2 linked regions of the Xenopus tropicalis genome follow. The protein of the gene in region 2 purifies or fractionates together with the protein of the main gene of each other region. This does not show direct contact. Links are inferred from orthologs where the notes say so. Each region holds a gene or a part of one and is shown on either strand. Other genes may lie near its edges.

Region 1 (16,039 bases), on a different chromosome or scaffold from region 2:
CAAAGCAATGTTTTAAAGATGTTCCATTTTCCTTCTGTGTCTAACCCCATGAAAAGCCTTTCCCAGTTGACACATTGCAGAGATGCCCTTATACTGGCAAAGTCTGCACGTCTAAAATTGAGTGTTTTAGTGACTCCCTTATAGAGCTGTCTCTGTAGCATTATCTCAAAGGAGACCATGTTGTGATCACTGTTCCCCAAATGCTCACCCACACAAATGTTAGAGATAAGTTCAGTATTATTAGATATTACCAGGTCCAAAATAGAATCATTCCTAGTAGGTTCTTGAACCACCTGAAATAAAAAGTTGTCATCAAATGATCAAATGCTAACTAGAATATGGGTGCATATGTGCCTCCATATTAAGACGCACAGCTAAAAACGTGTAGGATTGTTGGCCTACCAAATATTGCATACCTTCTAATACTGATATGTTTTGAAATATATATTTATCCAAACTATACAAATATTTAAAAAGCCTACTGGGATACCCGGTTAGGTATTCCAAAAACAGGGGTACTGATGCCATGAGGTGAACGAGAAACTCGCCTCAGGCAGCAGTGCGCCCCCCCGCAGGGGCAGCAACTGGAAACTTTTCTCTGCTAGCGCAGAGAGCGCAATTGCACTCTGCATTAGCAATGTGGCCCCCCTTTGGACCCCCTCCAGCACAAGAAAAGGTAAAAACTTGGGGGCGAGGGGGGCGGCGTCAGAAGAGCTCTGGGGCCGGAACACCCAAGTCCAAGAGTCAATCCATGCGTTGCGACTCCAGGGCTCGTTTACAAAAAAAAAAAAAAAAAAAAGGGGTGCAAAAAACCAAACCACACATTACTTTACACCTTTGTTTACACCTCTGTTTGATTGGTTTTGAGACTATGGGTTTTTTTTTTTTTTTTACAAAAGTGGAGGTAGCCCTTTTTTGGAGTAAAAGTGGTGGAAAAACTGGTGGAAAACACTTTCTCCAGATTCACAAACTGAAATCCGCCTAAATTCCGACTCAACCACCACTTTTCCGTTTTTAGTGAAAGAAAGACAGTTTACAGACACTTTTGTGAATTTGTCGTTTAAATGACATTTATATGACATTTTAACAACATTTTTCCCGACATTTTCAAAATGGAGTAAAGCTCAGTGTAACTCTGTCAGACCAATTCTAAGCTCTTCTGTTATGTTTTGTTTCCCCCAGTCTCCATTTCACACCTAAGGTAGGGGCCCCATTGGGGGATTGTTAACATATTAGTGGGGATTAGCATCTTATTGTTAGGGGACAAGTTTCTGTCTAACCCTAGAATAATATATTGTAAACATTTTTATTAAAAGGAAAAGTAAAGTTTTAGAAGCAGCAGTGCACCCTCTTTAATCACTTCACTGACACTTTCCGCAACTTATCTGTGCCCCCATAGCATGTCCAGAACTACAGAGCTGCTTGACAGCATTGGTCCCAACCTGTTCCCAGCAGTCATCTTGGTGATCAGCAAACAACACATGCAAACATCCCAAACTGGGATATTGGGGTACAAGGTTGGACTGGCCCAACAGCGCACTGGATAAAAACCCAGTGGGCCCTAGTCCTGTTGGAGCTCTATTCACCGGGCATGTTGGTGTGTGGGCCGGATTGCTGCTGCCCAGTAATGAGTAGGGGCTAGAGAATAAGGTATTTAGACCCTTAAATCTTGTTACTGAAGTGGAATTACACAGAAATATAGAAAAAAATGATTGTCCTGAAAAAAATTATGTATAGTTTCCTTGTGCAAACTAAAATCATCCCTCAGGAAATGCCCCCAAAGTGAAATGGCATATGAAATGCAAAATCCTGCTGGTAAAATCCTTATTCCAAGGCTCATGTAGATTTGGGACTGGGTTTGATGGCACCAACAAATTTACTAAGAGCTAACGGCAAATTCATAAAAAAATGTCGGGAAAATGACAAAATTTGAAAACAGTCTGCTTAAAAGACAAATTCACAAAAGTGGAGATAGAGGTTTGTGAATTAGGTGGAAAATCCCACAAATCTATCTCCACTTTTATTTTGTCTCAATATCACCACTTTTGTGAATTCCCCCCTATGAGTTGTTCAAGAGAAAAGCAACTATACTTAGGGGCAGATTTATCAAAGCGTTACATCTCCGTATAATTCTCCCCACTCTGCATTCATTCCTATGGGACTGTGTTGGTCCAAAAGTAACTTTAGAATGGATGAAGAACAAGGCTGCTAATGAGCAAAACCTTTTATTTGACAAAAAAAAATGATCTGTTTATTTTAAAAATATGTAACAAATGAAAGCCTTTAAAGTAGGATGTTTGTTTAAATACCCATAACTATGTAGGCAATATAAATATGGCTCCTGGTTTAAACATAAGCTTAAATGGTTTCTTACAAATAAGAGGTGGACTCCTGCCACAGAAGCACAGTAGGATGTGGGTAGCCAATCAAAGATCTGCCTTCACAGACACAGAGGTGGAGGTTCCCTCTCAGGTTTGCCTAACTGCTGGCTGCCCAACCATGAAATTGGATAGGCTGAAACCCTGCAGAGGAAAATGTGCACCACCAGATAAATAAGTCCACCAAACAATGGAATGGCTGCCCGATGCTAGTGAAGATTTTAGCGAAATGTATAATGCAATGGCAAATACTTGTTCTTGACCATATCCAGAATTGACCAGGTCCAGAATTCAGTAAATCAAATATTAGACCATGGTTCTCTAAATAAATATCACTAAGAATCTTGGATTCCCTTATTTTCTTCCCAGTCACTACATCTAATATGAATCAATGGAGCAGGATTACAAAATATGAAACGATATAAACAAACTGGCCTAATGCATTGAAAATTTTGCACATTTTTAATTAAAAAAAAAAAATTTGCATTTTGTAAAAGATGAAACGTTCAACAGCTTTGCAAATAGAAATGTCACATTAACAAACATGAAAATCCAGAACCATAACAGGGCAGTTAGAAACAAAATGTCCATGGTTACAGAAGTCCTTGACGCTTTAAATCTTCGTAGGTCTTCTTATTTACAACATTCCCACTGGAATCTTCGTATTCCTCCTATTCAAGTACAGAAAAAAAAACACTGTTCAATAGAGGCACAGTGTGTTTCATTGTCTCATACATATAAAACATGTACATAAGGAAATCCGGCAGTGAATAACTGTAGGTATATAAAGCATGTCATGAAAAATAAGATTTTACCAGAAAAATACAAGCGCATTATACTTAAAACTGATTTCCTTTTTTTCTGTAATAAAGCAGAACCTTTTACATGAGCCCATCTAAGATATCATTATTCCTTATTGGATGCAAAATAATCCTATTGGGTTTAATTAATGTGTTTAATGATTTTTTTAATAGACTTAAGTTATAGTGTTAAAAATTATGGAAACACAGTTTATCTGGAATACCCTAGGTCCCAAGCATTCTAGATAATGGATCCTATACCTGTACCACAAGTGGCACATAGTTACTTGGGGATAGGTAGTCACTACATCAAAGAAAAACACTATATAGCTATTTTTGCTGCAGCTCAAAATAAATCTCTGCTACCGTGGGTGACTAATGTCCCCAAAAAGCCTTTCCACTAGCAATAAAGGGAATCGGCGGTTGAAAGGCCTACGCATTGCTCCCTTTTTCCCCGTTTTGCCTGCAGGAGGAAACTGTGTGTGACTTTGGAAAAACAAAATGATGCATAGGCCTTTCCACCACCGATTCCCCCCGTGGGACTTTAGCCTAAAGGTTTATATTTAATCTCACAAAATTGGGACCACAGAAACTAGATAGCTGCTGTAAGAAAAGTAAGTAAGAAGAGTAAGAAAAATTATTCAGACCAATTGCAAATTGTCTCAGAACATCACTGAGGGGTCCCCCAAACTTTTTTACTCATGAGCCAGAGTCAAATGTAAAAAGACTTGTAGAGCAACACAAGCAGTATAGAAGTTCATGGAGGTGCCAAATAAGGGCTAAGATTGGCTATTAGGCAGCCTCTATGCACACTATCAGCTTACAGGAGGCTTTATTTGGTAGTAAATCTTGTTAAGTCAGGCATTCAAAAATAACTACCTGGTTTGGGGGCACAGAGAGCAACATCCAAGGGGTTGGTGAGCAACATGTTGCCCCTGAGCCACTGGTTGCGCATCACTGGTCTAAAGCCTACAAAAAGTTATTTTAAAGGTAAATTACCCCTGTTTGGAACTGCAATTACCCCTGCAAATATTTCTATGAAAACTGGATACGTTTAAAAACAAAACTGCAAAGCACTTTTCATAAGGACATCAAATATGATATGGGCCCAACAATGTTTAAGTATTTTTTTTTTTGGTTTCTATTTATTGTGTTAGGTATCCATGACTGCGGAAAACAACAGGTTTTGCACATCTGCATACAATAACCATGACATATCTGGTTATATGCTCAGGAGGAATTGTATGCACTTTGATAAATCCCAGTAGTCTTGATTTGCAGTAAATGACTTTCTGAAATTACAAACTAAAATGAACTAAAAGCAGAAAACATTACCACTTACCTTACTTAACACATTTACAACTTAATTTTTAATTCATTAGCAAGTGAAATGGCTACTTTACCATCCTGCAAATTATAGAGGTCTAAGTTTAAGCCAGTGTTAATACAGTAAGGACTCACCTCTGTATCAGGCTGCCATCTTTCAGAGGCCTTCTGATGCTTCAGCTTTGACCACACTATAAGTGAATGAATAGACAAGTATGTAATATATGCAAAATTGCTCATTAATAGGTTAGTTATAATTATAGGTTAGTTCTCTAATGTTTAATACAATTAATAACTGCAAAATTCCAGAGAGCAACAATTGGTAAGATAGGTGACTGATGAAATGAAATATGTGCTAGACTGAATTCATGAGAAAAAGCTTTACTTACAGGACACAGCATCCTCAATCTGTGTTACATTAGCAAAGTGTGCAGTGTTTGGAATGCCAAGACATCTCATGCCATGAGCATGACGCCATTCCTATGGATTGAAAGAAAACATAAGTCAGTCAGTACTGGGTCAGACACAGGAAGGGAAAAAAAAGTACAAAATGCTGCATTTCACCATGCCATGAAATGGATTTATAGGCCTCCAACTAGAGCTGAACTAATTTTATCTTATAAAAAACAATGGTAGGTGGTGTAGTTCAACTGACAATATGCTGCTTGAATGCCGCTTTCTTCTGGTTAAAATATAATATAATGTACAGCATCTCTGTAATGACTCCATCTTATCCTACATGCATTTCCTAGGAACCAGCTATGAATAAGCCATCAAACAGGTTGTTATCCTGTACTTTACTGAAGTGTTTAATGTCCAATAGCAATTTCATTCTGTCTTCTTTTTAATAAAGAAATAAGCTATGGGTTGTCACATACAATTTTTGTGACATATATACAGAGGTTTTCTGTTTAACAATCACTTTCTGCTCAAAAGGGAAACAAATTTTGCAGTACTAATTGGTTTTGCATGGAAAAGCATGCTCATATTAAACAAATGTTTTTATACATAGATAGCATGAATTTCAGTATTCAGTATTTTAATTTCAATGCTTTAGATTACTTTCTGATTAGCAGTAAAAAGGCTTTTTTGTAGTTTATAGAAAAACAACCTTTACAGTTAAGGTGATCAGAATACAGCTGTGTCTAAAAACACATGTTTTAGTCTAGTTTCAATACCCATTATAAAGTTCTGTACCACTCAAAAATCATAAAAAAATATTTATTTCAATCCATTAAAAACATTAACAACCCCACATGAATAGCCTAACGTGTTTTATGCTTACCTAGAAACTTAATTTAAAATGTTATTACTGTTCCAAATAAGGAGAGATCACAAAAATACATCTAAGTGTTAACAGACAGTGTCATCCCTTAGACAAGATGTGAAATAGTGGCACTCAGCTGTCCCTCCATATAGGCACAGCAGTAAATTCTTCCAGCAACCAAACTTGCATTTCCAGCAAGTAATTTTTTACTGCCATGCCAAGATTGTTAAATCTATCACAAACCAGTGAGCTGCAAAAATACAATTATGAAACTTAACAAATTGATGTGGGACTTTTTGCTTATATGTTACACTATCTTGTTGTCAAAACAGAGATTTACTTGCTGGCACCTCAAATATTAATTATGCTGTGGGGAATAAAGAAGAGGACAGAATAGTGCTTGTGGAGAGCAGATAACGAGAGATGAAAGAGAGCATAACGAAAGCAGCAAAAACAAGAAGATAGTGGCAAGACAAAGAATGGGAAGAGGGGGAACGGAATAGAAGTAAGAACTGAGAAAGCTACATGGAGAACAGAAGAGAATAGGGAAAGTGAAAAGTTTAGCTGGGAGAGAGCAAATATAAAAAAGATGGGAAAAAAGTGGAAAGGAAATAAAAAAAAAAGGATAATTTTAATCTGAAATGTTAATAAGCGCACTTCTGTAACGGTAGCATAACAATGTTCTTAAAACGTTTATAATTTTCTGGCTAAGGGGTCTTTCTTTAGTTTGCATCACCATTCCTTAAAGCAGAGGTTCACCAACTTTTTTTACCCGTGAGCAACATTCAAATGTAAAGAGCAAGACAAGCATAAAAAAGTTCCTGGGGTGCCAAATAAAGACTATTATCTATGTATCAACCCCTATGTGAAGGCTCTGATTGGCAGTACACCAGGTTTTTATGCATCAAAAATGTGCCTCCAAGCCAGGAATTCAAACATAAGTGGTTGAGGATCGCTGCCTTAACTAGCTTTTACACATGGAATAAAACCCAACAGCATTTCTGACATCCATATGGAGTGCAGCTTAGTTAATGCTGCTTTAATAACATAGATAGAGCCTAATAATTTAGAGACATATATCCAAATTGTAGACAGCCTGTTTCTATCTTATTAAAGCAGCCCTGGATGCATAGTTGGCCACAAAGTCATTGAGTAATCTCCTCCCACAATTCATTAAGTGAGGGGTAACTATTTTTGGTTATAAAGCAGTGCTATGTGTATGTATGTATGTATATCTTTATTTATAAAGAGCTACTTATGTACGCAGCGCTGTACAGTAGAATACATTAATACAAACAGGGGATTATTAAGATAATAATAGATAAATACAAAGTATAACATATACAGATAAATACAAGATAAATACAGTTGCAATAAGTTAAAGAGAGTTAAAGACACAAGAGGATGGAGGTCCCTGCCCCGTAGAGCTTACAATATATATAACTGAGGCATGTAAATGCCCTATGTTTTAGAAAGCCTTTACACTGCAAACCTGTGACGAGTACTATATAGAAGCGGCAGTCATCCCACATGTGAGGTACATAGTAATAAACAATCTATACAGTTTTGTAACAACCACTAACACGCAGAAAAAAAAAAAAAAAAAAAAAAAACACCTCACCGCAAAATGCCTCTGGAAAGCTTTGGGCCCTCTGTAGGTGAAGTTTCCGCAAATCTCACAGTTGTAGTTGATATTCAGGCCATGTAGCTTGTATAACCAATAAGGTATAGGCTGCAAAAATATGAATATATGAGCAACAACTACTTGAGTCAATTTCTTTTTTTTAATACTGTAAAATAAACATTACACAGTGCTAGCTACCCAGCTATCTCTAATGCTAAATCTGCAGGTAGTATTCTTTTCTATTGTGGAGGACAGAATTATGGCCTGCTGGCAGAACATGGGCACAGATTAAAAACATGTTTGAACTGTGTTAACTTCCCCCAAGTCCATGCCTGACTAACTGCAACTCAGCCAACTCCACCCATATGGACTACTTTTGCACTGCATTTCCATAAGTGTACAGTAACAAGTAAGGCCAACAAATTGGTGCAACTGGCAAAATCCAAGGTAAGGGTAATGTAACAATTTTAATCTAACATCTAATCTAACATTTTTTTCAACATCTAACTAATCTAATTTTATTTTTACAAATGCATTCTAATTACATTCTTTTCTAGGTTTTTCTTTTTTTTAAATGACTAGTGTGGCAGTTTCAGCAGTATCTATAGGAAATGCCTTGGATAAAACAAATATAGCGGTTCAAATCCAAATCCATCAAAGAGTTTTAATGTTGTATTTCCTTTTTTCAGTCAGATGTACCTATCCCTACTCCTGTTCCAAACATATGGATTAAGGTCACCTAGGCATCAAACGAACTATTAATAAAAATTGGTAGGTCGCTCATACTGGAAACCTTTCAGGTTACAAAACTCACCCCCCCCTCAAAAAAAACAAAAAAAAAGGACCACAGGACATAAAAATATGAATATGTACAAAGAGACCCTTTGCCCAATGCAATCTAAGTTGCATAACATGGTCACCCTTAACACCATGCTTACCTTGCCATCCCATCCAAGAGGAAGGTTTTTAGGGTTGTAAATAATCTCATTATCCTCATCATCACTCTCACTCTCACTGATCTGTTCTTCTTCTTCTTCTTCCCTCTCCTCACCTGTACGGGCTTGTTTACGCTGTACATTCTCATGGGTCAGATGTCTCTGTTCCTGAAAACCAAGAAAGTATGCATGGTTATAGACTAATAAATAACAGCAAAAGTTTAAGCCTAAATCAACATTGATAAATAAGTCTCCCCCATTTTGAAAATTACTTTTGATAAGGCAAGTGTCCATTTTACCTCTTTTTAATTTCATTCTATTTTATGGAAAAACTTTTCTGACTACATAGGCCAAACAGTTAAATAAATAGCACTGATCACCAGGCAGTCGAAAAACAAGCCAACAAAACAAACAACTTGGATTTAGAGGGGAGCTTGGAAATAGACACAGACAATACTGTGTGCAAGAATCTAAGGATCATTGTACATACAGTATTATTCATTATGGTTACTTACCCCTAGAATTTCAACATATTCATACACCTGAGCTTCAAGGAATGCAATGTCTTTGTTTTTCTCTGTGTCTCTGTATGAAAAAATGCAACATTTTATTAAACAGATTACTGTGCAATGAAATGCATATATTATCCTCTAATTGTAAGTAATGCCTACTGAAATCACTTACCACTGCTCAAATAGTACAACTTAGCAAGTCTTATACGTATAGCTGCAAATTGCATGTTTGTGTATGTACCTGTGTCATTCACCCAAAGAGATCAATATTTCACACCAAAGATCTCCCCTATTATACTTACGACATTCCCTGCTACACGGTTGAAGCGAATACAACTTTTCTGTACCTATAAACAGTCACTTTTTCTACTATTTAACAACCCTCGATTTCAAAGAGGGGAAACAGATTCCCAATTTGATCTGTGGAATCGCAAAAGGCAATGGTAGGATTATTACTAAATCCTTATACATTCTTAGAACTGCAAACAAAACAGTGACTCCCCAATAATATCTTTGCATAGCTAAAGATTAAAGGCTATGTAAATTTGGTGACAAAGTATAAAACCACAACTGTCTCATAACCCCCTAGATATACTAATAAGGGTTAATAAAGGGTGACTCCTCTTTGCATCAGGGGGTTTCTACCATCATAAAACCAATGATACATTACAACCTACGTAATAAGTTTTGTGGCCTTGTACCGCATTAGATGCCTTTTGGGGGAAATGTCTTAACACAAGTAAGCACACTGTGCAATATCCCCATTTCTCATACAAATCCACAGATACTACTAGGGTTATACCCTAAATGCACAGACAGCAGCAAAAAAAGGTTATCTTTTGACTGTTGATCTTTATGACTAGCAGAAATACTGGTCTTGAAAGCAATAATTCTATCCTAGAATGCTGAATGACCACATAACCTCCTTCAAAACAACTGTGGGAACGCAAACTACTATACACAATGCAACTTCAATGGGTCTTAGCACTCCAAGAAAGGCTAACATTTCTACCATGTCTGGAATAAATACTTAAGATACATCGAACAGCCGAAAACAGCATAAAGTACTAGCCCTCTTCCAATACACTAAATGGTGGGCAGAAGCTTCTCTTCTAGGTGAACTAAATAACCAGACGACAGGTCGTGAGAGTTACAATCCCGCTTCCTCTTCCCCTTCCATATAAAGATAAAAAAAAAAAAATGTACTATCATTTACACACCTTACTAAATGGCCTTCTCTGCTCCATGATCCCTCTTTTATCCTCTCATCATCAACAGATTGTAAACACAAAGCTAAAAATGAGGTTTCAGCTCTCACTGAAGACATCATGAGAGTAGAACTGCAAACTACATTTATACATAATTGTTTTAAAACAGCTGCAATCTGACTGCAGTGGAGTACAATCATTTATTGGCCCCCTTACCTGCGAGTTCCTTTCGCTTTAGGATTTTTTGCAAACAAAGATGGATCCAGAGACTCCAAAGATTTGCCTTTTGTGCTGAAAAGTCTTTGTGCTCTTTCTTCCAATGTCCTAGAAAGACAGAACAATAAATAAACTCCTTAAACGTAGACTTAACATAAGTCTTTATGATTATATAGAGAATCTGTTTTAAGTTATGCCCTTTTATTTTAAACTGTGAATGCAAAACAATTTGATACATGTTCACTTACATATTTAAACAATATAATGCATTGTGTGATACTAAAATGGCAAACCGCCATTTTGTTATACAACAGGAATCAAAGGCAAACAATCTACTGAATGCACATGCAATATAAATTCAATTTATTTAAACGTGAAAGTCAACACCAATATGTTTATGCTACAGCAGAAAAAAATTCTGTCTGCATTATCTATAACTGCAAGCTCACTTACCCTCCACATTTAAGGCCTAAAGCCATCAGTGCAGATTTTAATCTGTCAAGACCAAGAGAGGCCAACTCCTGCAACAAGAAAAATAATTTCAAACAAGTTTGTTGCAATATGACTTGGATAAAGCTACAAAAACCCAATTATGAACATCTTCTCCCAAAAAAAGAGATCTGTGTCTGCTGTAAAAAGCTCATGTTAATTAAAATGTCTTAAAAAAAATTTAGTGTTACCTTTCCTTTAAGTAAAAAAATCTATTCTACCCTGCCCCAATAATTACCTTATCCTGCACACCATTTATTATTTTGAATTTATTATAAAATATCTGCTAAAACTTGGCTTCCAGTCATTTGAAATAGGGAGATACGGAGATGCAGGGAAGAATCCACTATGCGACAATTGATTGATCGATCCTAGCCTTCCTTCTGTATAGGAAGGAGTCAGGCTAGGCTCGATTATTGGGGCAGGGTAGAATAGATTTTTTACTTGAAAATTTTGTGTTACTTTTCCTTTAAATACGCACCTGTAAAAATGTTTTATACACATATCCTATGAAACATCTTATATTTCCTTTATAAAAACAATGCTTTGGAGATACAACCCTCTAGCTACTAGCTAGTACACCATTATTTGAAGTATAAGTGAAAATTCCTCACAAAGCAGTTAATGACTTATTCTTCCATAATAAAAGACAAGGGCTGATGTCTCCACACATTTTAACATCAGAAGTAATGTCTCCATGCTTAAACTACTACAACGATTTGTGTTGAAATAAACACATCCCTAAAAATAGCACAAGGTTGAAAATACATTGTTTGCAGACTTCAGCAAGTAAAATGCCATCTACAAAAAAATCCATAATAGTGTTTTTACAAGCAGTGTAATTGTTTTTGCTGCTAGAAACCAACTGAAAAAAAATTGTACACGTCATAGAGATATTCCACAAATCTTCACTATGGATGTTTCTCTACACCCATTCTCTTTAATATTGTGGGAAAGATGAGAGGGCTTTCAAATACTTACCTCCCAAGAAGAGAAGGCTGACAGGTCCAGGTGAGCGCCAGCATGAGTGAGTGCGCTGCTTGTCTCTTTCTAAAAACAGCAACATTATCATTACCACAAGGCTCTTCTTATATTTTTAACATAGAAATACTCCTGTATATTAATAACATCTAGAATATATGCACACTCATGTGCTCAGACTTGGGGTTATTCCCTCATATTTTATGTATAACATTTGCTTAAGCTTCTGTTAATATTACAGCTTGATGAAAATATGCTTGTTACTTTAACCTAGATACAGTGCGTAAAACATTCAAGCAAATAATTATTCACCCATAAATGGCAAGAAAAATGTAATTCCTATTTCACATTAAATACAAATCTTTTTTGCTATTTTGATTCAAGAGTCATAACCAGCAGTTCAGAAATTAAATACAGCTACTGGTTAAATAAATAATACATTACATTTACAAATAACCTTAAAGCCACTGACAAACTTTCAATAAATGTATATAAGAGTTAGAGATATTTTTTTTTTTTTTTAATAACACAAAACAATTTTGGGTGGACATCCCCTTTAATATTACCTAATTTTGAACTAAGGGTCTAGGTCTATAAGAACCTCCACCCCAAGGTCGATTCATGAAAATTGGAGGTTACTTTACAAAATATACACTATAAAATTAGCAATTTTTTTTTTAAACACTACTATGGCACTACAATGACAAGTTTACCGGCCAGCCAGGAAATGCACCAGCCTCCCACTTCTTCTCAAACTCAATCTGTATTTTCCCAAAGAGCTCATTCTGATCCTGTAAAGGCTTCACCCGATCTGTATAGTCTTGAAGATATTCAAGAAGTACTTCCAAATACCTGTGGAGTAATTGTGGCAACAGGGATTTAGTCTATTATATAGATAAAAGAATTGGAGCAAAAGTACAAATTTCCAAGCTGCAGTGAATACAACATTTTGAAATCCATGTAACATGAGCTTGTTGGAAGAAATCAACCCTGTTCTCAAAGCTCTAATATTATATGTTTTTCAAAAACCTTGTGACCAGAACTCAATGCAAAGTTGCATCCCTAACAACTATTTTGTAAACTTATAAAATATACAGACAGATCTAAATGTTGTCAGACCCATTAACCCACCGATAATGAGTATTTTAGATATATTTTAGGTATAGCTACTATTTAAATGTGTATGTCTTTCTAAGAAGTTTAGGTTTACACCAGTATAGGCTAGAATGTATTTTGACCAATAGATACACATTATCACTTATTTTTAAGTACAAACCTTTTGTATTCTGCATTTTTCCTCTCTTTTGGAATGTCAAAAAGCTGGTCAAAGGTTGCAAGGTATGTGATATAATCTAATTTCTGAAGAAAGAAAACAAACAAACAAACATAAAACACAATACAAATTTTGCTATATACAGCATGCAAACAAGCTATATCATATATACATACACACAAGTATGGGATCCAGAAAGTTTTGAAATACAGGAAGTCCATCACACACACAATTTTTTTTATAATGGAGTCTAATTTTTAAACATGATTTCCTTTCTCTCTGTAATAATTAAACAGTGCATTATACTTGATGGTAAGATAATTAATCCTTACTGGTGGCAAAACAATTCTATTGCCTTTATTTAATGTTTAAATTATGTTTTTAACAGACTTGGTGTGGTGAACCAAAGTATGGAAAGATTCCATATATTTCTTGGTAGCTTAATGCACAGAATGTCTTAATCTTAATGTCCTATATATTGATAATAGGTTAGTGCAGGGGACCTTTTGTTTTTGTCTAAATGAATTTTGTTGGCCATAGTTGGCCAGCTTGAAATATATTGCAACATATGGAAAAACAATCCCTGTTGTCTAAAGGGCAGGGCTTTTTTTCAGTAGCTTAATTAGCAGAATGTTATAATATATATAAAATTGGTAAGTGCAGTGGACCTTTTGTTTTTGTCAGTATGAATGTTTTGGTCACAGCATCATTACACCCCTGCCTAATGGTTTATAAAATTGGTGAGCACAACTTTCCCTATATATTAGAATAGCATCAGGGCCATTTCCAAACACAGAATACAATGGAAAAAAAATGACTAGTGCACCAACATCTAATACACAGGGAACACATACACTGAATATTCAACAATACACTTACTACACGTAACTGAATCGCATAACAGTGTATGTTTGTTAAAGTAGCATTGCACTGAATGATCTAGTACTATTCATCTTCATCACCAGTTTTATGTGGTGTGTCATACAGAATAGATGTGAACAAATAGTTCAAGGGAGTGGGGTTGATGAAAGGTAGTATGTTAATGCAGTCATTGACTAAAAAGTATATCAAGCCGTTTTCATTCAGTCACGTTGTTCTCAAACAAATATATCATTTTAGGCCAAGAACAATCTTATAAAGTCATGGTACAAGTAAAGCAAAAATTATATCCTAAGAATGGCGCATTTTTATATACAGACTATTACTTAAGTATTTTGTTGCGAAATGCAGAAAAGTGATTTGCATTGAATTCTTACCTCTGAAGATTTGAGGTTAATATATTTCAGGTAGCAGTCATGGAGATCCATATATCTGCCATAGCCCTCTTCATCTGTAAATTCCACCAAATCTGTGTGGTACACAAAGAAGAAGGTCAGTGACCCCTACTCTAAAGCTGTGTGGTGCGCACTAAGAATTCTGTGCAAAAACACAAAATTTTGTATTTACTCTTACCAGAATATTCAGTTTTAAAAAGATGTGCACACAGGTTTAAAATATGTGTGCAAAATATTTTTTTTACACACATCCAAGAAGGAATTAGAGGGAACATTGGTGGTAGGAGCCCAAAAGGTCCCAAAAACTTAAATAAAAGACAAACTTTAATTTAACACACATTTTTTATTATATGATTTCTGTTCACCAAGACTCTTTTAGACTGCCTGAAACAGTCATTTTCTCCCTCGCTATTATAACATTTTCTTTTTAAATGTTAGGCATTACATATTGAGAATAAAGTCTTCATCAAGCTTAAAGGGGACCTGTCACCCTAAGAAATAATTACAAATTGTTTTATATTGTGTTTGTCAAGCAAAATAAACTTGAATTACACTACATACATTTTTTGAAACTTATTTCCTTCACCACTGGAATTCATCATTGCAGAAAACAGGCAGGCTCCATTTTGTGGACACTGTTATTAAAGCAAGCTGTGCATCCTGCCAAAATCTTGTGTATGTGCCAGAATGGGGGGGGGGGCTGATACCTATATCCATGCACTGGTTACAAAATTAGATGGTAAGGAAAGAGGGGGAATGTGAAAAGTGCAGTGACATCTAAGAAGTTCTGAATTGAAAGAGAGATTTTTGTACTTACCGTTAAATCTTTTTCTCTTGTCCTACGATTGGGGAACACAGGCACCATGGGGATGAAGATCCTGCAGCTTGGAGAATGGACACTAAAAGGTTAAAGTAGCTCCTCCTCCTGCTCAGGGCTTCGTCCCCCGCCTACTTCCTCTACTTGCCAGTTTGTTTTTTACCGAAGAAGGAAGGAAAAGGACCTAGCCGAGAATTGTAACCCACTCTTAGGAGAAGGAGCTCCCCCGGGAGACCCCCAACCAGAATGATTAACTGGATATAACTCAAAACTGTAACCCTTGAACTGTAGTAACTCGTATTAACATAGGGAGGGAAGGCCTGTGTTCCCCAATCGTAGGACAAGAGAAAAAGATTTAACGGTAAGTACAAAAATCTCTCTTTCTCTTGCCTACATTGGGGAACACAGGCACCATGGGGACGTCCCAAAGATTCCCATGAGGGTGGGACATCCAATGAACTCTTGGTGGTTCAAGGAATAACTGTCTAACACCTTCCTCCCGAAGCTAGCTTCGGCAGAGGAGTATGTGTGAATCTTGTAGAACTTCGAGAAAGTATGTAAGGAAGACCACACCGCAGCCCTGCATACCTGTTCAGCGGAGGCCTGATTTCTCATGGCCCACGAAGTGCTTAATGATCGTGTAGAATGAGCCCGGACCTGGAAGGGTGGTGGTCTTCCTCTGGTTGCGTATCCTCTAAGGATGGTAGCCCTAATCCATTTTGCTAAGGTGGTCTTGGAGGCCTTTAGACCCTTTCTGGGGCCTTCCGGTATAATGAAGAGGGTGTCCACCTTTCTAACCTTTTTCGTTGCCTCTATGTAAGTCCTAAGCGAGCGTACCACGTCTAGGGTGTGAAGTTTCTCCTCCTGATGGCTTTTGGGATTAGGGCATAGGGAAGGTACCACAAGGTCTTGGTTAAGGTGGAATTCCGAAACCACCTT
Region 2 (16,039 bases):
CCCCTCCCCCACCCTCAGCCAAATGTGGGGGGCAGCTTGGGTGCAGTTTGGGGACCGTTCTGGATAAAGGCCCCTTTGGGTGGCACCAGGAATGGGCCAGAGATCCTGACTGATGTTGTATGGGGGTACTCTCAGCGGAACAGCGCCCCCTCCTGCAGAAAAAAGCAAAATATGTAACTGAGCCTCGTCCGTCAGCGAATCAGCGGCTGCCTGTGCCCATTCTCTGCCCATTCCAGTGCCCGCCCCACAGGAACAGAACGATACCGACAGTTGTTGCTTCTCCCCTGTACCAGGATGGGAACATCGGGTGGCACTGGGCCCAACAGAACCAACTCTGCTGATATCAATTTACATTCTTGTTTGGCCTTTACCCCGTTACCATCTTTTGGGGGGGGCATTTGAGATAAATGTGCGGGAGGGAATTGCCCCAGACATGCTTGGTGAATACAGGGTTAAAATCTGACCCCTCCTCCTATTGTGCCCCCGACAGGAGAGCCCACTTGCGCCTGTGTTTGGAGCGGTTAAAGGACCTGATACCCCTGGAGTCGGACGCCGCGCGGCACACAACCCTCGGGCTGCTCAATAAGGCCAAGCTCCATATCAAGGTAAGGCGCCACTTAGCCGATATTGGCCGCCAGTTGGGAGAATGTCCCTTTAACTGCAGCATTTGCTGGTGAGTCGCTACAAGCAGTGACACCGGGGGGTTACTGGGCAGTGTAATACCCATTACCCATACGCCCCTGACCCACAGAGCTCACAGTCTTCCTTTCGGGCAGATTGAAACTTGTCTGTGATTGGTTGTTGCAGCAATTCTCACTGACTTCCCTTACCCTTCCCAGAAACTGGAAGATACGTCCCGGCGCGGGCAGCACCAGCTGGAGGTTCTAGAGCGGGAGCAGCGGTTCCTGAAGAGAAGACTGGAGCAGCTCCAGGGCGGCACGGAACCAGAGAGAGTGCGGTCAGACAGTATCGGATCCCACGCTTCCACCGACCCATCCGACTCTGAGAGAGGTAATTGGCTCCCTCGTTAGCTTGTCATGAAACCTCCGACCCAAATCCAAGCCACAGGTTCTGTTTTGATTTCCCTTTGGCTGAAAGCTCCTCCCTATGTATGAACCCAATTGCACTGAAGCTCCTCCCCATGTATGAACCCAATCACACTCATGCTCACCATTCCCCATTAAAGGAACAGTAACACCAAAAAATGAAAGTGTGTTTGTTACAGTAACACTACTATAGTTTATATAAATACCCCGCTGTGTAGCCCCGGGGGCAGCCATTCCTGCACTGGTACAGCTGGGGTGTTTGCTACAGAAACCCTACTATAGTTTATATAAATACCCCGCTGTGTAGCCCCGGGGGCAGCCATTCCTGCACTGGTACAGCTGGGGTGTTTGCTACAGAAACCCTACTATAGTTTATATAAATACCCCGCTGTGTAGCCCCGGGGGCAGCCATTCCTGCACTGGTACAGCTGGGGTGTTTGCTACAGAAACCCTACTATAGTTTATATAAATACCCCGCTGTGTAGCCCCGGGGGCAGCCATTCCTGCACTGGTACAGCTGGGGTGTTTGCTACAGAAACCCTACTATAGTTTATATAAATACCCGCTGTGTAGCCCCCGGGGGCAGCCATTCCTGCACTGGTACAGCTGGGGTGTTTGCTACAGAAACCCTACTATAGTTTATATAAATACCCCGCTGTGTAGCCCCGGGGGCAGCCGTTCCTGCACCGGTACAGCTGGGGTGTTTGCTACAGAAACCCTACTATAGTTTATATAAATACCCCGCTGTGTAGCCCCGGGGGCAGCCGTTCCTGCACCGGTACAGCTGGGGTGTTTGCTACAGAAACCCTACTATAGTTTATATAAATACCCCGCTGTGTAGCCCCGGGGGCAGCCGTTCCTGCACCGGTACAGCTGGGGTGTTTGCTACAGAAACACTACTATAATTTATATAAATACCCTGCTGTGTAGCCCCGGGGGCAGCCATTCAAGCTGGAAAAAAGGAGAAAAGGCACAGGTTACATAGCAGATAACAGATAAGCTCTGTAGAATACAATAGTGTTTTATCTGTTATCTGCTATGTGCCTGTGCCTTTTCTCCTTTGAATGGCTGCCTCCATGGCTACACAGCAGCTTATTTATATAAATTATAGTAGACTTTCTGAAGTAAACACACAACTTTTACCAGTGCAGACAGCAGCACATTATATTTTAGTTACTTTTATACACTTTCATTTTTTGGTGTTACTGTTCCTTTAATGCCCTCAGACCCACACAAGCTCCTCCCCATTCCCCATGAATGCAGCCAATCCCACACAAACCACGCCCCATTGTGACCTCACGCTGTGCCGTATGATGCCATAGCATTGGGACCCATGGGTTGGTTCCGTACGTACTTTAACCCCTGACCCGCCATGTTGTTCTTCCCTGCAGAGGAGATTGAAGTGGACGTTGAGAGCACAGAATTGTCCCAGCTGGAGGTGGGCAGTACCGGTACCAGCAGCGCCAGTATCAGTGACCTGGACGACCAGAGCAGCATGCAGAGCCTGGGCAGCGACGAGGGCTACTCCAGCGCCAGCATCAAGTTGTGCTTTACCTCCTAGAGCCCAGCGGGGCACGTATTGGGGGGCACAAATGGCAGCTCAGCAGGACTCCTGAATATCTGGGACCAAAAGCTCCCGTACCCCCCCCCCCCAAGCACAGGTCCCTTACTGGGGGTGACACAGCTGCTACAGCGCCGGGGGGTTCTGCGCTGGGGAAGATCCGGACCTCGGTTGGAAGGTACCGGCCCATATGTTTGTGTTGCTGCTAAAGAATAAGAAACCATCGACCCATCCTCTTGTCTCTGCAATGTGAAGAGCCTGGTTCTGCCCCTCAGGCCCAACCCACGAGTGGCAGCTAAACCAAAATGGCTTCCACGCTCTGTGGACCAATCACAAGCCTCCCTTGAACTGTGTCTTTATACAGATTCGTTTGTCCCTGGGATCTTATTGGGTTCCTTCAGGTTCCGATCTAACTGGGTGGATCTCTAAGCTGGGCCGTCCCATCATGCAGCTCTTTGGGGCATGCTGGGGGCTGTAGTCCGGTGGCAGTAAATGCACAAATACCCCCACGGCTGCTAATCCTTCCGGATGGACTTCCAGAACCCGGGGCGCGGCGGTTCTTCCGGGTCTCCCCGTAGCACTCCCTTAAATTATTTTTGCAGATAAAAGAGAATATTTTTAATGTGAGAAGATGGAATAATATATAAGTAGTGACATCACGATGACATCACCGCGGTGACAATTGGTGCCTTGGATCCCCGTTTCCTTTCTTCTTTGTGTTTAATTTATTGTTTTCTTGGTCATGTGATACAGTGGCTCCACCCTCTGCCTTCCCAGAATCCCCTGCCCTGCGTTACTGGCGGGCAGGCTTGGGACACAAAGCCCTACACTATGAAAGGGAGCATTGAGTTGCAAGGCTCCGCCCCTCACTAGGTGCAGTAAGTGGGCGGGCCCCTCAGGTGTACTTACCTGGCCACGTACGTGGGACTGTCTTCTAGACAAGTTTATGTTCAACTTTGTAAGTTGTCTAATGGTCGGTGCGTTCCGCTGCCCCCTACGGGGCAGTGAGAGCAGTTTTTACTCTGTGGGGGCGGGGCACAGCTTGCCCCTCCCAGCTTGTACTATTAGAGCTTTGCCATCCAATGGGCATCCAAGGCTGGACGCACACCGGTGCCTCTGCGCAGGCGCGGTGATTGGTTATTTCCTCTGTGGCCCCTGCCTCCCCCATAAACCCTTTCCAACCCAGAGTGGGGGTGATTAGAGTTTGCCCCCATTAACTATTCCCCAGCTCAAGCAGCAAGACTCGGAGGGGGCGGGGCATCTTGCGGCTAAAGGGCAAGTCAAAACATGTAATTCCCTGTCTGTGCAGGGGCAGTGACACCCATGGGTGGGTGCAGCACCCTCTAGTGCTCGTGCCTGGATTCTGCTACTAAACTCTATGGCAGCTCCGGCAGGAAGGGTACATTCTGGGTAAGGTATCGCCCCATTTCCTGGGGCCCATAGGCCTCACTTTCTGCTTAAGGGCAAATCTAAAGGGGACATTCCACTAAAGGGGAAGTTCACCCAAAACATTGCTTTTTTTCATATTGAAAGCCAATGTAACTGTAATAAAGGTGCATTCACCTGTGCGACGTCCGGGGCCCCCGGGTATCTGGGGGGATGGCACACAGTGTGGCAGAGCTGCTGTGGCACGGGCCAATCATCTGGCACGAACACCTAGAGTGCCCGGCTGCTGCACTGTTTGTTTGGGTGGAGTTCCCCTTTAATCTGTTACAAACCACATCCCAGAATCCTCGGCTCCCCCTGATAGAGCTGCTGGGATGGTATTTCCCCAGGTGGCTTCTGGGAACTGTAGTCCAATTATAGATAGGGACACAGGCTGGCAGCTATAAACTCCGCCTCCACATCCTAATCCAACTCACAGGCATTATGTGACTCCGCCTTATCTACTTAATTATGAAACTAATTTAATTCTGACACTAAATTATTATTATTATTATTATTGCTGAATTCACTATTTTATTTGGTTCTGTAGTTATTTCTGTATCGGGCCGCCCGGCACCACTAATAAAGTGATCCAGAAAAATTGTCTTGGGCCTCTCATTGGGCAGAAATGTATTGTATCACAGGTTATTACATAAGGGCCAAACTGAGCTGATAGCAACCAATCAGAAATGAGAATGGCACAGGTTACACACACTGACTGATACAGGGGGGGGTAAATGAAAGCAGAGATTCGATTGGTCGTTGTTAATATGGACTCTAGAGCTGAATGGGTACATTTGGTGGAGGAGGAGGAATAACGGGCTGGGGCTGTTACCATGGTTTGGGCCCCAGGTACTGGTGAAACCTTAAGGCTACAGGGTACAATGACATTCCTGGCAATTCCCTGCTCCCTACTTTGTGGGACAGTTTGGGGGGCCTTTACCGTTTAAGCACAATAATCCCCCCCATGCACAGAGCCAGATCCGTACAGAATGGGAAGAACCTGACTGAGCCCTGACCCCAACCCAACTGCCCCCCTGTGGGATGGAACCCCGACTGTGAGCCTGACCCCCAACATCACTGCCCAACCTCACTAATGCCCTTGTGGCTGAATGGGAGCAACTCCCAGCAACACTGTTCCACCATCTAGTGGGAACCTTCCCAGAAGGGCAGGGGCAGTTATAGCAGCAAGGGGAGGGGCAACCCAACTGACCCCCTGTGGGATGGAACCCCGACTGTGAGCCTGACCCCCAACATCACTGCCCAACCTCACTAATGCCCTTGTGGCTGAATGGGAGCAACTCCCAGCAACACTGTTCCACCATCTAGTGGGAACCTTCCCAGAAGGGCAGGGGCAGTTATAGCAACAAGGGGAGGGGGACCCAACTGACCCCCTGTGGGATGGAACCCCGACTGTGAGCCTGACCCCAACATCACTGCCCAACCTCACTAATGCCCTTGTGGCTGAATGGGAGCAACTCCCAGCAACACTGTTCCACCATCTAGTGGGAACCTTCCCAGAAGGGCAGGGGCAGTTATAGCAGCAAGGGGACGGGCAACCCAACTGACCCCCTGTGGGATGGAACCCCGACTGTGAGCCTGACCCCCAACATCACTGCCCAACCTCACTAATGCCCTTGTGGCTGAATGGGAGCAACTGTTCCCATGGGGGCTGCTCTGGACTAGAGAGGCCCCAGTGGAAGTAAAGGGACGACAGGAACTCCCAGAACAAATGGATGGGCCGATCCCTTCTCCTTATGCCACTGTCAGGCCCCAGACGCCGGTTACTTGGTGCCTTAGTGGGCAGACACGGGGGCTGCTGAGGAGCCTGCGGGGCTTTGGCCGAGTGGATTAAGGGCACCAGATTAGCACAAATCCTCATCTTAACGGCCCCACGGGGGTTATTTTGGGCTCAGCGCATGTGTTTGTGCTACTCCGGCTCTCAGCCGCCCCGGGGGCGGATTCATTCACATGGTGGGGTAAGAAGATCAACTTCATAAAAGGGGCTGTTCACCTTTGAGTTAAGTTTTAGTATGATGTAGAGAGTAATATTCTGAGATAATAAAAAATGAAGACCAATTGCAAATTATTTGTGGTTTTGTAATTATTTCACTTTTTGAAGTTTCAGCAGCTATCTGGTTGCTAGGGTCCAAATTACCTTAGCAACCAGGGAGTGGTTTGAATGAGAGACATTTATAGGAGAGGGGCTGAATAGAATGAAAAATAATAAAAAGTAACAATCACAGAGAAATAGGTTTTAGCTGCCGGGGTCAGTGACCCACATTTGATAACTGGAATAAATCGAAAAGTCGTTTAGAATTGGCCATTCTATAATATACTAAAAGTTAACTGAAAGGTGACCCCACCCCTTTAACAAGCCAGTAAGGCATCAGAGGAGGGAAGTGTCTGGCAGCACCTCAGGCAGAACAGGCTGTACCCCAATATTATAGCAGGGGCAGTGGGTGGGGTAAAGCCCCTCAGCTGTAACTCCCAGCACCCCCTGTCCATCCCAAGCAGCTGGAACTTACACTTTATTTCATTTAAACCTTAAATTTTGCCCTATTGTCTCCCCACCACTGGGAAGTTGTATCAGGAGTCAGAACCAGCAGTGCAGGGAAGGGAAAGGGACAGTGACACATAACTATAAACCCAGTGAGAATGAGGAATGAATGGGTATTGGGGAGTTGTATCAGGAGTCAGAACCAGCAGTGCAGGGAAGGGAAAGGGACAGACACAGTGACAGTTACACATAACTATAAACCCAGTGAGAATGAGGAATGAATGGATATTGGGGAGTTGTATCAGGAGTCAGAACCAGCAGTGCAGGGAAGGGAAAGGGACAGACACAGTGACAGTGACACATAACTATAAACCCAGTGAGAATGAGGAATGAATGGATATTGGGGAGTTGTATCAGGAGTCAGAACCAGCAGTGCAGAGAAGGGAAAGGGACAGACACAGTGACAGTGACACATAACTATAAACCCAGTGAGAATGAGGAATGAATGGGTATTGGGGAGTTGTATCAGGAGTCAGAACCAGCAGTGCAAAGGAAATTAATGGATATTGGTAAGCTGCCTAGAATAAGGCAACAACACAGGTTTTCGGACCATTTTTGGACAGAAGCCCATTGGATACAGGGGGTCTGGCACAAGAAACCTTTATTCTTCAGTTTTACAAAACACGCCCCCCCCACCCCCCGCCATGTTGCCCCTCCCACAGGTGAGAAAACATCATTTAGTTACAATAGGAAAATGTACAGTTGGTGTCAGAAAGACAAACCCAGAGTGCCCGGGGGGGGGGGAAGCAGTGAGGCGCAGGGATACGTTGGCACCGGGTCAGGCAATGAGGGGGGGCACAGCTGGCATCTGCACAGGACACTCTGTACTCGCTCTTCCCTGGAACCAACACACAGGACGTTCCCTGCTACCAAATTAGCCTCCCGCCCCGGCTAAATATTGTCCAGAACATCAGGCACGGAACCCGGCCAATCAGCTTCTCATTAGAAGCGCTAGAGCTACTGGACTCTAGGGGGCGTATTAGCACCACACAGGAGGAGAGAGGATGGAGTGGGAGGGCTATTAAGGTTTAACCCCTGCAAGGGGCTTTCTAGTAACAAAATGGCAATTCCCTATTTACACACGGGATTAAAACAAACTCACAATCGTTACCCACGAGACTTTTATGTACAAAAACGATATATATACAGGGCACGCAGCCCACGCGCTCGCCCTACGACTGTTACACAAATTACAACTGTGTATGAGGAACGGACAGGAACCTTCTCTTGTGGCGGCGGATTGGCCAATCACTGCCCGATCCACTTGTTTGGCCACCTTGGGCTGATCCCATCGCTGACCCATAGAGCGGGGCCTGTAGGTGGATTAAACCTGCATCGACATCCCATTGGGCAAGAACATGAAACCTGCTCAGTTGCTATCTATTAGGCCAGATATTGGGCAGGCCGGCCGGCGGAGGATTTATTGGCCTGTGTGGGTCAGCGAGTGGATACAGAATGACGGGCTGCCCAAATACCCAATATGGCAGCTTACGCGGAGCGACCAGAATCAGCATCAAGCTTTGGTCTGTGTGGGAATCCTAAACTGGGGGGGTTCAGCTTTAAATAGAGCTAGGGTACCTGGCACACAACTTCCGTAACTATGGTAGGTAAATCCCTAGCGATCACCCTAGCAGGCAGCACCGCATCCCAACAGCGGCTAGGAACGACCAACAGTTTGTCAACCTCTAGCTTTGTGCTTTTAACTGGGCACCAAATGCCCCATCATTTAACCCATTGTGCACTGTGTCTCCATTAGATGCTGCCAGTACGTGACCCTGCAGAACCCTACCCCTGGGGCACAAATGACCAAACAGGGCAGACCCCCCCACGCTGAGTCCAAAGAGCATCGGTGCTGCAGGTAAAGAGGTGACAGATTTGCATCCTGTAAGTGGGGGGCATCGGGCACATTAATCACCTTGCACCCCCAGTCCATCACTCTTGCGGCTGAGAGAGGGACATGAAATCAGAGGAGACAGTTCTTAAAGTGAAAGGAGACCGCCGCCTCGATGTTCCTCATACAACAGCCAATAATTTAGTTTTAGAAAAATATATTGATAAAATGCAAAGCCCAGCAGAGAATCCGTCCGGCCAGTCCCGCCGTCACTGGGGCATGAGGTGCCGCACGTTGTATTTGGACGTATCCTGGTACTGTGTCATGGGTTTGTCTGCAATGCCACACGTGCCCACTCCCACCTTCCCTGTCACACTCTCGGGGGAGGCAAAGATACTTCTCTTGACCTGAAACAAGAGCAGATGGGTCAGAATGGAAACATCCGAGAATGGCAGAACGTCCTCTGCCCAGGGGATAATTGGGCCGTAGCCAATAAAAGGATAAGTTCTAGGAGAGCCAAAAGCCTCTCTCTCTCAGCCGGACACACAGCTAAATGCCCAGGTCTGTGGCCATTACTGACTGGCCTTGATGTAACACAAGAAACACTCACACAAGTTCAATAGAAAGGTTAATATTCTCACAGGCACATATAACTGGCAGCCCAGGGGCAATTACACAGCTACGTGCTGAGTAAGAATGGAAAGAGGCAAGTTAGTCAGTGGGCTCAGGTACAGGAGAGGGAACAGTGTAGCCATAGAACAAGGCCAAGGTGTTATGATCAATCCCATGATCCTCCAACCAGCCATGAGTTGTATTTAACCACTAGAGGGCAGCAGGGCTTACAATAATAAACATAACCCAATATGAAGGTAGGAATACAGGGCAGGCAGAACCTTACCTGGCCTTTCTTGTTTTTGGAGTAGGCTTTGTTATTGAACTGCTGCCATTTCACCTTCTGGTCTTCCCTCTCCTGCTCCAGCTCCTTTATTCTCTGGGCTTTCTTTAGCGCTTTCTTCTTCTTATATTCTCTCTGGGCAGCGATCATCTCTTTCCTGCCCAACCAAATGAAAGGGGGTAAGAGAGTTCCTAGGCAACCAGCACAAGGGCCTCAACTCAGTAACTGCCCCAGTCTAAATTATCATCTGCCCAATACCTTTTTTTTTCTTGCACAGTGCGGGGGTTATATAACTAATGGTCATAATATTACTACTCAGTAAAACCCTTAGCAACAATCAGCAGGTAGCATTAACTGAAAAGAACATCTAACTGGTTGCTATGGGTTACTAGGTGAGACAAAACCTAGAAAGCTTTTAAGAAATATAAGTCAGAGGGGACAGTGTTTAATGAATATAAACACTATAACAAGTGATGTAAAACAGCAATCCGGAAGGCAAAGATAGAAAATGAGGAGCGCATCGCGGCCGAGGCTAAAACTAACCCCAAAAAGTTTTTTAAGTATATTAATAGTAGATTGGAAGAAGGCGAATGTCTTTCCTATATTTATACAGGGAGTAAGATCCCAGCCGGGCAATTATAGGCCTGAAATTCGACATCCGTGGTGGGCAAGTTATTTGAAGGCTTGTTAAGGGATCACATACAAAAATATGTACTGGAGAATGGCATTATGGGTAGGAATCAGCATGGCTTTATGAAGGGCAGGTCATGTCAGACCAATTTAATTGCTTTTTATGATGAGGTAAGTAAGAAGCTGGACAGTGGGGGGGGGCAGTAGATATAATCTATTTGGATTTTGCCAAAGCATTTGATACCGTTCCCCACAAACGACTGCTTTCTAAGCTTAGGGCTATTGGTCTTAGTGAAGTCGTTTTCACATGGATAGAAAACTGGCAACAGAGGGGGGTTGTTAATGGCACATTCTCTACTGGGAGTAAGTTCTGTACTGGGTCCACTTTTGTTTAACTTGTTCATAAATGACTTAGGGGAGGGGATTATGGGTAATGTATCAGTGTTTGCAGATGGCACAAAACTCTGCAGCCCAGTTCTACCCAGGGTGTGGCAACTTGCAGAAGAATCTTGACAAACTGGCAATCTGGGCAGCTAAGTGGCAGATGAGATTTAATGTGGATAAATGTAAGGTCATGCACCTGGGATGTAAAAATATGCCCCCACTTATACCCTTAAAGGGACTGCACTAGGCAAATCCATAATGGAGAAGGAGCTTGGAGTCCTTGTAGATAATAAACTTGGCTGTAGCAAGCAATGCCAGGCAGCAGCTGCAAGGGCAAACAGGGTATTGAGCTGTATTAAAAGGGGTATAGATTCACGGGAGGAGGGGGTTATTCTTCCCCTTTACAGAGTGCTGGTAAGGCCCCATCTAGAATATGCTGTTCAGTTTTGGTCTCCAGTGCTCAAACGGGACATTATTGAGTTAGAGAGGGTCCAGAGAAGGGCAACTAAGCTGGTAAAGGGTATGGAAAGTCTCAGTTATGGGGAAAGACTGGCCAAGTTGGGTCTGTTTACACTGGGGAAGGGGCAGTTAAGAGGTGACATGATAACTATGTATAAATATATAAGGGGATCATATAATAACCTAATACTTTATTTACCAGTAGGGCCTTCCAACGGACACAAGGGCACCCACTCCGTTTAGAAGGGAGGTTCCAATGAAATTGTCGCAAAGGATTTTTTACAGTGAGAGCTGTGAAGTTGTGGGGTTCCCTCCCTGAATCAGTGGTACTGGCTGATACATTATATAGGTACAATGAAGGGGAGTTACAGGGGGGGCTGGGAAGTTGTGGAATTCCCTCCCTGACCCAGTTGTACTGGCAGATACATTATATAGTTTCAAGAAGGGGCTGGATAAGTATTTAGCAAGTGAGGGAATACAGGGGTAGGGGGGATAGCTCTCAGTACAAGTGAGGGAATACAGGGGTAGGGGGGATAGCTCTCAGTACAAGTGAGGGAATACAGGGGTAGGGAGATAGCTCTCCGTACAAGTGAGGGAATACAGGGGTAGGGGGGATAGCTCTCAGTACAAGTGAGGAATACAGGGTTATGGGAGATAGCTCTCAGTACAAGTGAGGGAATACAGGGGTAGGGGGGATAGCTCTCAGTACAAGTGAGGGAATACAGGGGTAGGGGGATAGCTCTCAGTACAAGTGAGGGAATACAGGGGTAGGGGAGATAGCTCTCAGTACAAGTGAGGGAATACAGGGTAGGGAGATAGCTCTCAGTACAAGTGAGGGAATACAGGGGTAGGGAGATAGCTCTCAGTACAAGTGAGGGAATACAGGGGTAGGGGAGATAGCCTCTCAGTACAAGTGAGGGAATACAGGGGTAGGGGGGATAGCTCTCAGTACAAGTGAGGGAATACAGGGGTAGGGGAGATAGCTCTCAGTACAAGTGAGGGAATACAGGGGTAGGGGGGATAGCTCTCAGTTACAAGTGAGGGAATACAGGGGTATGGGGAGATAGCTCTCAGTACAAGTGAGGAGGGGGAATTAACAGGGGGTTAAGGGTGGGGGATAGCTCTCAGTACAAGTGAGGGAATACAGGGGTAGGGGAGATAGCTCTCAGTACAAGTGAGGGAATACAGGGGTAGGGGGGATAGCTCTCAGTACAAGTTGAGGGAATACAGGGGTAGGGGGGATAGCTCTCAGTACAAGTGAGGGAATACAGGGGTAGGGAGATAGCTCTCAGTACAAGTGAGGGAATACAGGGGTAGGGGGGATAGCTCTCAGTACAAGTGAGGGAATACAGGGGTATGGGAGATAGCTCTCAGTACAGTGAGGGAATACAGGGGTAGGGGGGGATAGCTCTCAGTACAAGTGAGGGAATACAGGGGTAGGGGAGATAGCTCTCAGTACAAGTGAGGGAATACAGGGGTAGGGGGGATAGCTCTCAGTACAAGTGAGGGAATACAGGGGTAGGGGGAGATGCTCTCAGTACAAGTGAGGGAATACAGGGGTAGGGGGGATAGCTCTCAGTACAAGTGAGGGAATACAGGGGTAGGGGAGATAGCTCTCAGTACAAGTGAGGAATACAGGGGTAGGGGGGATAGCTCTCAGTACAAGTGAGGGAATACAGGGTTATGGGAGATAGGCTCTCAGTACAAGGAGGGATAGCTCTCATACAGTGGGGAATACAGGGTAGGGGGGATAGCTCTCAGTACAAGTGAGGGAATACAGGGGTAGGGGGATAGCTCTCAGTACAAGTGAGGGAATACAGGGGTAGGGGGATAGCTCTCAGTACAAGTGAGGGAATACAGGGGTAGGGGAGATAGCTCTCAGTACAAGTGAGGGAATACAGGGGTAGGGGGGATAGCTCTCAGTACAAGTGAGGGAATACAGGGGTAGGGGGATAGCTCTCAGTAAAGTGAGGGAATACAGGGGTAGGGGGATAGCTCTCAGTACAAGTGAGGGAATACAGGGGTAGGGGGATAGCTCTCAGTACAAGTGAGGAATACAGGGGTAGGGGGATAGCTCTCAGTACAAGTGAGGGAATACAGGGGTAGGGGAGATAGCTCTCAGTACAAGTGAGGGAATACAGGGGTAGGGGAGATATAGCTCTCAGTACAAGTGAGGGAATACAGGGGTAGGGGGGATAGCTCTCAGTACAAGTGAGGGAATACAGGGTAGGGGAATAGCTCTCAGTACAAGTGAGGGAATACAGGGGTAGGGGGGATAGCTCTCAGTACAAGTGAGGGAATACAGGGTAGGGGGATAGCTCTCAGTACAAGTGAGGGAATACAGGGGTAGGGGAGATATAGCTCTCAGTACAAGTGAGGAATACAGGGGTAGGGGGGATAGCTCTCAGTACAAGTGAGGGAATACAGGGGTAGGGGGGATAGCTCTCAGTACAAGTGAGGAATACAGGGTAGGGGGGATAGCTTCAGTACAAGGAGGGAATAAAGGGTAGGGGAGATAGCTCTCAGTACAAGTGAGGAATACAGGGGTAGGGGGATATAGCTCTCAGTACAAGTGAGGGGAATACAGGGGTAGGGGGGATAGCTCCAGTACAAGTGAGGGAATACAGGGTAGGGGGATAGCTCTCAGTACAAAGTGAGGGAATACAGGGGTAGGGGAGATAGCTCTCAGTACAAGTGAGGGAATACAGGGGTAGGGGGGATAGCTCTCAGTACAAGTGAGGGAATACAGGGGTAGGGGGGATAGCTCTCAGTACAAGTGAGGAATACAGGGGTAGGGGGGATAGCTCTCAGTACAAGTGAGGGAATACAGGGGTAGGGGGATAGCTCTCAGTACAAGTGAGGGAATACAGGGGTAGGGGGATAGCTCTCAGTACAAGTGAGGAATACAGGTAGGGGATAGCTCTCAGTACAAGTGAGGGGGAATACAGGGGGTAGGGGAGATAGCTCTCAGTACAAGTGAGGGAATACAGGGGTAGGGGGGATAGCTCTCAGTACAAGTGAGGGAATACAGGGGTAGGGGGATAGCTCTCAGTACAAGTGAGGGAATACAGGGGTAGGGGAGATAGCTCTCAGTACAAGTGAGGGAATACAGGGGTAGGGGGGATAGCTCTCAGTACAAGTGAGGGAATACAGGGGTAGGGGGGATAGCTCTCAGTACAAGTGAGGGAATACAGGGTTATGGGAGATAGCTCTTAGTACAAGTTGCCCCAGGGACTGGTCCAATTGCCATCTTGAAATCAGGAAGGAATTTTTTACCCCTCTGCGGCAAATCAGAGCAGCTTCAGATGGGATTTTATTAACCTACCTGAACCTTCTATACAACATACAACATTCTATCATGTACTTTACGTTTAATACTATTTAATTGCAAATAAGGTCTTTATAGAACTAAATATTTTTGAAGTGCTAAAAAGGTGGCCCGAGAGCCTGATGATGTAAAATCTCTGCCACTATTGGACACTTGCGTTATTGGTGGGGGGCAAATAAGTGAGGTGTTATGCTGAAATGGAAACATACTTTGACATAGGCAGATTGCCGCTGTCCTCCTTGGCTTTCCTCCCCTCCTCGACCGGCCTCAGATTGAGCAGAGACGTGACTTCGGCATTGCCATAGCCAGCGAAGGTTATGGCCGCAGTTCCGTTCTCTTCGTCTATTTCCTCGATCTCCGCCTCGTACCACCTGTAAAGATATCATGGCTGTAAGCATGTGAGTAAAGGCTTGGCAAGGCAACGAGGAAATGTTAAACGCTGCAAAGCAAACCTAGGCTTGGGGGGCTTATTATGGGTAACAGAATGAACGGGGGGGGGGGGGGGGGGCTTTATGCTGTATTAAAGACAAAGCAGTTTAACACCAGCAAGATCAATTGCGTTTCAGAGAGTCGGCAAATTGCATTACAATGAAACGGTGTTCACGTAATATAAACACCCCCCCAACTAAGCAAGTGAGTCCCTGCAGGATTGGGCGAATGGAGTGCAGAGCAAGTAGACATTCGATAGCCAGACCAAAGGCCCCAGCAAAGCTTACCATATCACCCATATACAGCTCACTGCACTTACTGTCCATCATCGCTCCAGACCGCCATGCACTTCTCTCCAACCTTCCATGATTGGCTGCCGCTGGCGGACATGTCGTCGCAGGCATCATCTGCCGTTTCCGAGGGTTGTGAGGATAGAAGGTCTTTGGTTAATTCTATCACTTCCTGAAAGACAAGAGCGAGTGGGAAATTCCGCATGGATACTGGCGCCGTCTCCATGTTAGGTAAGCGAGGGTATCCTTACCCTTTAAATCTATTTATAAAGCCAAGACAGGGTGCCCTATATTGCTCCCTACATGCCCAGCAGAACACAGCAGTGTTGGTTCCTTGGCACAGAGGCTCACAGGCCTGGCACCAGTAAGCTGCTTCTGATTGGCTGCAGGGCATTGCTATAGCTGTGCATCTAATGATATCAGCGTACGGGGGCATCATTGCCAATTGGGCATAAAGCTTGGAAGTCGGTGGCACATTTCTGGGGTAAGAATAACAATTGTGCAAAATACTGAGTGCATCTGACTGCCACACGGTGCATCACATGATCCCACGTGCACTGCACTCTCTCTAGTCACATGGGACAAATCCCAAGACTCCTCTCTGTCTGTGGGATAATGGCAACAGCACCCACTGCTGGAGGGAAGCGGGGAGCACAGCTCAGGTCCAGGGTCAGAGACCCTCACTGCAAGGAGGTGAAGGCCGACATGGACCCTCCAGTTTAGCTGCCTACACTCAGTGGGCAACATCTGGGGTATAAAACCTTGTTTTAAGGGCTACACAATCCATTATTTTGGATTTGGCCAAACACCCCACAAGGGATTGGACATCCGGCTGTCGGTTACTTTAAAACCACATGACCATAAATAAAGGTGCAGTCAAATCCAAATATTGGCCAAATACAGATCCAACTCCTGGAATAGGTAAAGTACTAGTTTTATGCTCCAAGTGAAATAACTGTGCTGCTGTATATAGCCGTGCCAAGCAGCTCTACAACTGACGAGATTTGCTTCCTTACCACCGACATGGTACATCAAGAGCTTACAATCTAATAAAGCATTAGTTTGCTGCCTGTAGAATGACCGGCAATATATCAGATATTTGGAAGGAATTTTCCTAGGATTGAATAATACACAAAAAGGCACTGGAGCCCTTGGGAGGAAGAAGAACCATAATAAAGACCTGAAGGACAAATCCTGCCAG

Evidence for each region.
Region 1: the proteins of smndc1 (region 2) and sf3a3 purify together in Homo sapiens (affinity purification with mass spectrometry; 3 studies listed by BioGRID and IntAct, with this or other methods). This does not show direct contact. The link is inferred for Xenopus tropicalis from reciprocal best matches to the Homo sapiens genes SMNDC1 and SF3A3.

Annotation. Positions count from the first base shown.
Region 1 is NC_030678.2:83,810,607-83,826,645, forward strand, and holds the end of sf3a3 (splicing factor 3A subunit 3), read right to left. Parts: intron 14,358-16,039; coding exon 14,266-14,357; intron 13,096-14,265; coding exon 13,013-13,095; intron 12,589-13,012; coding exon 12,450-12,588; intron 11,806-12,449; coding exon 11,737-11,805; intron 10,788-11,736; coding exon 10,720-10,787; intron 10,375-10,719; coding exon 10,267-10,374; intron 8,916-10,266; coding exon 8,846-8,915; intron 8,499-8,845; coding exon 8,334-8,498; intron 7,504-8,333; coding exon 7,393-7,503; intron 4,985-7,392; coding exon 4,894-4,984; intron 4,696-4,893; coding exon 4,640-4,695; intron 3,050-4,639; coding exon 2,972-3,049; 3' UTR 2,818-2,971; downstream 1-2,817. UniProt on the Homo sapiens protein: Component of the 17S U2 SnRNP complex of the spliceosome, a large ribonucleoprotein complex that removes introns from transcribed pre-mRNAs.
Region 2 is NC_030683.2:2,915,643-2,931,681, reverse strand, and holds the end of smndc1 (survival of motor neuron-related-splicing factor 30), read right to left. Parts: intron 15,011-16,039; coding exon 14,868-15,010; intron 14,491-14,867; coding exon 14,329-14,490; intron 9,476-14,328; coding exon 9,322-9,475; intron 8,831-9,321; coding exon 8,693-8,830; 3' UTR 7,177-8,692; downstream 1-7,176. Other genes in the region: mxi1 (max-interacting protein 1), read left to right, coding at 491-605, 840-1,011, 2,438-2,607. UniProt on the Homo sapiens protein: Involved in spliceosome assembly.